Linked DNA regions of Arabidopsis thaliana. Each later gene encodes a partner of the first gene's protein in a complex. Each region holds a gene or a part of one and is shown in the gene's direction. Other genes may lie near its edges.

Region 1 (3,088 bases):
TTGATTCCTGATCTGAGTAATCTGCTTATATTGTCCTTTAGATTCTCTTCATGGTCGTGTTCAGAATTTTTAACTAGATAGGATAAATGGAGAGGGGATGAAAATTAAAAATAGTGTCTCTCAACAGTCACTACTGCATCTTTGTTAATTTATGATGGGTGTATCATGATATGCTATTTTGCATTTTCCTTTGTTGCAGTGTAGACTACATAGTTATTACCAGCGTAGACCGTGACGATATACCTGATGGTGGAAGTGGACATTTTGCGCAGACTGTCAAAGCTATGAAGGTTATTAATATTCTATTTGTTTATGCATTATGTTATTTAAGCATACCTTTTTGTGCATTTCTCGAATGTTGTTTCAGAGTATTTATGAAAATGAAAATATATATCTCATCTCTGTAGAGACATAAGCCGGATATAATGATAGAATGCTTAACTTCTGATTTTCGTGGGGATTTGGAGGCTGTCGACACTCTTGTGCACTCGGGATTGGATGTTTTTGCTCACAATGTCGAGACTGTGAAAAGGCTCCAGCGACTTGTGAGGGATCCTAGGGCTGGGTGAGTGCTGTTTCTTGTTCTTCATTTTTTTATATGTTCTGCAAATTTGGTTATGGCATAGATGGGCTGAGCAGTGAATTGATCCTCTGCTCCGGGATGTCAATCTCATATTACACAGTCAAATATCTCCTAAAGTGAGACATAGGTGGTGTTCTGCATCTTTAGTTGTAGTAAATCTCCATTTTAATGTGGATATAATGTGGAGAATGCAGATATGAGCAGAGCATGTCAGTTTTGAAACATGCAAAGATCAGCAAACCTGGAATGATCACAAAGACATCCATAATGCTTGGTCTTGGAGAAACAGACGAAGAGTTGAAGGAAGCAATGGCTGATCTAAGAGCTATAGATGTTGATATTCTAACACTTGGCCAGTATCTACAGGTAAACTAATCACTTCAACATTCCCCACATCATTCGCAATATTCCTATTTCCAAGATAGAAAGATCCCAAATTTCAAAGAACATCTACGATTTAAAACCGTTTCTCTTGTTCCACAATGAAGCCAACTCCATTGCATCTGACTGTGAAAGAGTATGTCACACCTGAGAAGTTTGATTTCTGGAAAACATACGGAGAATCAATAGGATTTCGTTATGTTGCAAGTGGTCCACTGGTAAAGCCACAAACTATTTCTTACTCTTTATGTCAAAAAATATCTGAGAACATAGAAGATACAGAAATGTACTTGTTTGATATTGGATATATACTTTTTGCAGGTAAGATCTTCATATAGAGCAGGAGAGCTTTTTGTTAAGACAATGGTGAAAGAAAGCTACTCTAAATCCTTGTCTTAATAACAACAATGGCTACTATAATGCCAAAAATGATTGCTGAGACCACAAAGCCTTCTTCCTATCTTTTTTGTTTGTTTCTTTTAATAGACTTCATTTATTTTGGTAATTGATTTGGAAACCATTGTGGATATATAAAAGTTTATATATACTAGTTTTGTGTTATTATAAAATCCTGCCAATAATATCTGGAAATTGTCTCAAGATATTTACAGTGTTGATTCTCTATCTGAAGCCACAAGTTCCTCATCTCTTACATTGTCTTAAGTCTGACACGCGTCGCCTTTCTTTATCCAAAAATAATCCGACTTTTAATTTAAACCAAATAATTAGCAAAATTAGTAATCACCTTGATTAAATTAACCATCTAATATAAATAGATGAGGGGCTAAATGATATGATCTTTTTTGTTTTCTCTCACACTTTCTTAAGATTTTTTTCTTCGGCTCGGACGCAGATGACTAACAGTTACGCTCTGTCACCGGCGATTATCGCCGCCGTTCGTCCTCCGGCATCTCAAGACTATCTAGTTGCTGCTTCTCTTAGTGGACGCAAATCGATCAACTCTTCATCTTCGTCCATTTTCGTACCTATCTCATTATCTACTTCCTACGGTCGAAGCAAATGCGCCTTCTCAATCTCGCGGAAGAATCCAAAATCGACGATTCGTTGCGATATTGCTGTGAAATCGGCGGCTTCTGTAGACGCGGACGCTGATCTATCGTCATCTACGTCGTTGGAGACGGAGGAAGACGAGAAAGCGAAGGAGAAGATTGGAGCTAGGGTTAGGGTTACGGTTCCGTTGAAAGTTTACCATGTGGTTCGTGTACCGGAGGTTGAATTGATGGGAATGGAAGGTTTTATCAAAGATTACGTCGTTCTTTGGAAAGGAAAGAAAATCTCAGCTAATCTGCCGTTTAAGGTACAGTTCGTGAAAGAGATCGAAGGTCGTGGTCCTGTCAAATTCTTCACGCATCTTAAGGAAGACGAGTTCGAGTTAATTGATCCGTGATTGAATTGAAAAAGGCAAAAACTTTTCTTCTCTTTCTGATATTAGACTTGAAAAATCTTTTGTGAATGGTTTGTTTGTATGTACTTTTGTATACATTTAGCTTATTATATACATAAGATTTCACCCATTCTTGAATCCTTTATTGCTGTTTTCTTGCTTCTGATTTGGTTTCCCAGAGTATATAGTTCGTCTTGTGTTGGAGAAACTAAAAGCTGTCTATTGATCCATTGACTAGCTTAGAAGCCTATCAAACTGATTTTGCATTTGATGTGTTCACTTCAAATGAACATCATTGAATGATCTTATCCTCAAAATCTATCATCCGTTGGAGGTTATGAAGTAGATGGTAGTGAGCATGAAAGTGGTAAAGATATTGGTTTATGTAACTAAAGAGTGTTTTCAGTTGATTGTTATAGTGAGAATCTTTGTTTGTAGTTAGAACCAGAAACTAAAAGGAATGACATCAGTTGTTTTCTAGGTTCTTATCCTCTTTGTTTCGTATAATCAAATGTGGGATTGCATTCTCTGATCTTTGTAGAAGAGTCTTTGAGTTAGAAGTAATGATGGCATGAGAGAGTGTTGAGGAATTAGTTTATGTGTCAATGTGGATGGTTCCTTTGCTGCAACTCTTTTTTGTAGTAATAATATGAGTATATGATGTGGGCAGTAGTATTGTGGTAATTCTTCTCAAGTTGTTAGCATTTTGATTTACTGAG
Region 2 (4,449 bases), on another chromosome or scaffold:
AAATTGAAAGGTTTTTAGGATTTCAGATTTGACACTAGGAGTAACAAATGGTTCCTCTATACTCTGTAGTTACCACTGGTCACTCTATACACTATAGTTACCTGAGATCTTTATTAGTGAAAGAGATTGTTGCATTGTTGTTATCAGCAAGGTAATGTGAGTGTAACAGTTGTGTATTACTAATTCTTTTTGCGGTGTTGTATTCCTCTTCCAGCACACTATCCGTTGATCATAAAGGCGCTCCCTTCGGGTAATCTTGTTTTCCATGAATCATATCACAATGTGTTTTCTTGCTTTGACATTATTGAGATCTCAATGGTCTCTATTTGCAGGAATGTTGTATCGTTTAGTGATGGTTTACCCGAGAAAGGTAACGGTATACCTTACTTTTACTTAACAACACTTGATCCAACTGCAAGAAACGCACTTAAAGACCAGAGAGCTTCACTTGCAATTAGTGAATCTCCTCTTGGAACTTGTACAAGAGATCCAATGAATCCTACTTGCTCTAAACTAACCCTTACCGGGAAGGTAAAAGAGTTTTTTCTTATTGACACGACAAAGAAACTTACTGTAAAATGCTTTGGTCTTTATCTTATTATAATGTTTCAGTTGCTGATATTGGAAGGAGGATCTGAGGAAGCAGAAGTAGCCAAAAAGGCTTTATTCACAAAGCATCCAGAGATGATGGGTGATTAATTGTTTCACTCATCTCTTAAGATACAGATTCATGATAGATTTGTATTATCATGTGATGGTTTTATCATTTGCAGATTGGCCTAAGGATCATGATTTCCGCTTCTTTAAACTCGAGATCATCGATATATTTCTCATCAATTGGTATGGTGGAGCTAAACCTATCACTGTAGATGAATACCTTCATGCCAAGTCGTAAGTACATTGCGTGAACCCTTTTAAAAACATCGGTAATCTCTGAGAAACCGAACTATGAAAATTTTCGAATCGTATGCCTTTTTCGCATTTGATCTCTTAGTTCTTTTGAACTGTTTTCAGGATCAAACTCGCTTCCTTTTTATAATAACTCACAAGAATCAAGCAAATGGTGAAGCAAGAAAATGTATATTGGATGAACAATAAAAAGTGTGTAACTGTTTCTGTAAATAACTCTTTGTTTTGGACCATAATAGATATTAAAATCTCTTGTAAATTACCTCAAAGCAATTTCAAAGGTATCCAAAATACTTTTCAATTTATGCAATTGAACCAAAACAAATTCTTCCACGTGAACCGAAACGAAAATCGGTTTTGATTTCTCATTTAAACCGAATAAACCAATTTTTTTTATTCATTAGTCTAAAATTTAAATTCTATTATCTAAACATAATTGAACCGGAACTTTCATAAGAGAATTGAATCCAATACACTAAAACAAAATAAAACTAGAAATTTATGTAATTGAACCACGTTGGAGTCAAATTAAAACCAAATCAGAATTCTATTGCAATTGAACCAAACTAATTTCACCAACTCGAACCGAAACCAAAACTCGATTTTTTCATTCATAATTCTACTCAAATTCTTTATCTAAACCGAATTGAACCGAAAGTTTTGAAGCAAAGTTTGAACCGATTCGATGGTCGAATTCCGGTTATTTCCGGTTTGAGGATAAGCTTTATCATTCTCTGAGAGTCTCTCTCTCTGTGAGTGGCGAGCATTGGTTTCTGGAAAATGAACACAAAAAAATATCTGAAAATTTCGATCTAAAAAGCATAAACGAATCCAAATTTCAAGAGGAGAAGAAAAATCTTCAAGTCCACGACGAAACTTTTCATCGATCTTCAAATTCCAGAAAAAACTCGATGAATCTTCAAGCTGTTTCTTGTAGCTTCGGATTCCTTTCGAGTCCACTTGGTGTCACTCCCAGAACTTCGTTTCGTCGCTTCGTAATCCGAGCGAAAAGTAAACAATTTGAATCCCTAGATCTTTGTTTAAAGTGATTGTGATTTCGGTTTTGGATTCATCTTGAATCTTCTTCTTGTTTTTGCAGCGGAACCGTCGGAGAAATCAGTAGAGATTATGAGGAAATTCTCCGAGCAATATGCTCGTCGCTCTGGGACTTACTTCTGTGTTGATAAAGGAGTTACTTCAGTCGTTATTAAGGTACTCTTGATTTCAATCGGAGCTTATTGAAATTTCAGATGAACTTGTGTTGATATGAAGATTGTGATCAACTGCTTAACTATTGAAGTGGCTTGTGTCTTTCTACTTGTAGATTATGAGTTAGTGAATGTAAACATCTTGAGGTTTAATGCTTAACTTTGTGAGCAGGGTTTGGCTGAGCATAAAGATTCATATGGTGCACCGCTTTGCCCTTGCAGGTGATTTGCTTCTTCCGAGCAATCTTGAACTATCTATGTATTCGTAAAGTTTGATCCTTTGTTGTTGATGTAGACACTATGATGATAAAGCTGCTGAGGTTGGACAAGGCTTTTGGAATTGTCCGTGTGTTCCAATGAGAGAGAGGTAAGAACTATCTTCTTCATGTGGTTGCATAATAAGCATTGGGGTTGCTATATAGTTAGAACTAAGAATATAAAGTCCTTTGGGAAAAGCTGGTTATATAGATCGTCTCCAACGTCCTTGTTGTTATTAGTTGGATAGTATTCAGCAGCATACGTATGTTGTAGTTTCCATAGAGGTAGCCGATGCTCCGTATTGGTTGTATCAAGATTGATGCAGAGAATGTATTCACATATTGCTAGGCAAGTGGAAATTGAATTAACCATAGTTAGAAAACTCCTGTAAAACTCTTGGCCTATGTGGCTCTTTTGATCAAATTCTGATACACCGCAAATTTAAGATCCTTTGTGTTTTAATAGGACTTAGTTTAGGTAGTAGAGTTCGATCAATTTTGCATCTGTTGACGGTTTATTCTGATAATACTTGCTTGTTTACATCTTGTACTAAAGTATTTATCACTTGTTCATCAGGAAGGAGTGCCATTGTATGCTTTTCTTAACTCCTGATAATGATTTCGCTGGAAAAGATCAGGTAAATCTCAAATCAAAGCTTGAAGGTTCTGTCTCCATTTTAAGGATACCATTAATGGTTCGAAGCAACTTAGTAGTATTGGGAATTTGGGAACCTATAGTATATAGTATATGGATTTCTAATTCTTTCTCTTGTTTGAATCTTGCAGACGATTACATCGGATGAAATAAAAGAAACTACAGCTAACATGTGAGAGAGCTGGTTCTTCCATGTTCATCACCTCTGTTCTTTAGGTAAAAAAAAAGAGAGATATGTCTCGCCCCAAATGCAGTCTTGTACATTGATACCCCGAGCATCTTCTTCGTTCTTCTGTACAACTCTTTCACTCTTAAGATAATATTCTTTAGTATGATCTTTTGTTTGCAAAACGATTACAAGCTATATAAAAGGATCCAACTTTACACGAAATCTTCAATAAGTAAGCTTAAAAGATCTAAAGGTTTCTCTTTCACATCTCTCAAAGCCAAAGCTTCCATAACAGTATCAATCCACTTAAATCAGTAGTTTTCTCATAACGTATTTCATTTGCTTCTTCTTCTTCTTCGGATCTCAATCTCCAAGTTTTATGTTTTTTCAAGCAGTGATATGGTCTTTACAGTAACCATTCTTTGCAACCATTCTCTCGTGATGTTCAATGTTCTATGTCGCATTCGCATGTGCCAAGTATGAACGGCCTCTATACTTGCAAGTTGTGGATTTTGGGCAAGCCATGCGTGGATGTCAAAGTATTCTTCACATGAAGAGTCGATTATTGTTGTATTCCTCTCTAGTTATGCTGATCAGAAGAAACTTGGTTGTACAATAGTGCTTCGCTATTTATCTTCAATTTGAATGAATAAATTTCCATCATAACTATCGGTTTTGGGCTTTTAAGTTCAATTTAAGCCTTTTAGGGTTTGTAATTTTGTTGTTCTGTTGTCATTGTCAAGGATGTCTTAAATTGACGGAAGAAGTCTGGAAAGAGTTGTTTTTCGAAGGTTAACATTACATTAATTTTGGTCAAGGGATACGGTAGAGAAGATCCTCTCTAGGGTTCCGATGAAATCTCTAAGAGCAGTTTGATTTACATGCAAAAAGTGGAACACTTTATTCAAAGATTTGAGCTTTGTAAAGAAGCACGTTGGTCATGCAAAAGTACAGCAAAGAAAAAAGGAGTTTATCGTAATCATGATGATTGATTTTAGGGTTTATTTGACGCACATCAATCTAAACACCAACGTTGAATCGTGTATAAAGCATGAAGCTAAATTTACTAACCTAGACGATCAGATGAAGTAGATGTAGCTTAAGTCTTTCACTACGATGGTTTGTTGTTAAACATCACGAAAGACAATGCTAAGCTAGTGGTTTGGAACCCGTATTATGGACAAAACCGGTGGATCGAGGTCGAGCCTAGTTTTCACCGATCCGACTTGTATTTGTATGCTCTAGGATATG

What was found.
Region 2: the proteins of FTRA2 (region 1) and AT2G04700 are in contact, whole or in part, in a crystal structure (PDB 7C3F), measured with the Arabidopsis thaliana proteins. Residues at the interface, in NP_568195.1 of Arabidopsis thaliana: Leu116, Lys117, Val118, Tyr119, His120, Val140, Trp143, Lys146, Lys147, Ile148, Ser149, Ala150, Asn151, Leu152, Phe171, Thr172, His173, Leu174, Lys175, Glu178; in NP_001323778.1 of Arabidopsis thaliana: Arg88, His89, Tyr90, Asp92, Ala95, Glu96, Gly98, Gln99, Phe101, Trp102, Val107, Pro108, Arg110, Glu111, Arg112, Lys113.

What each region holds. Positions count from the first base shown.
Region 1 is NC_003076.8:2,709,258-2,712,345, reverse strand, and holds FTRA2 (ferredoxin/thioredoxin reductase subunit A (variable subunit) 2), read left to right. Parts: upstream 1-1,747; 5' UTR 1,748-1,757; coding exon 1,758-2,372; 3' UTR 2,373-2,536; downstream 2,537-3,088. Other genes in the region: AT5G08415 (Radical SAM superfamily protein), read left to right, coding at 200-290, 408-565, 778-949, 1,072-1,182, 1,286-1,363. UniProt on the Arabidopsis thaliana protein: Variable subunit of the ferredoxin-thioredoxin reductase (FTR), which catalyzes the two-electron reduction of thioredoxins by the electrons provided by reduced ferredoxin.
Region 2 is NC_003071.7:1,645,141-1,649,589, forward strand, and holds AT2G04700 (ferredoxin thioredoxin reductase catalytic beta chain family protein), read left to right. Parts: upstream 1-1,666; 5' UTR 1,667-1,820; coding exon 1,821-1,920; intron 1,921-2,008; coding exon 2,009-2,121; intron 2,122-2,289; coding exon 2,290-2,339; intron 2,340-2,412; coding exon 2,413-2,484; intron 2,485-2,951; coding exon 2,952-3,012; intron 3,013-3,160; coding exon 3,161-3,205; 3' UTR 3,206-3,897; downstream 3,898-4,449. Other genes in the region: AT2G04690 (Pyridoxamine 5'-phosphate oxidase family protein), read left to right, coding at 215-250, 333-691, 774-895. UniProt on the Arabidopsis thaliana protein: Catalytic subunit of the ferredoxin-thioredoxin reductase (FTR), which catalyzes the two-electron reduction of thioredoxins by the electrons provided by reduced ferredoxin.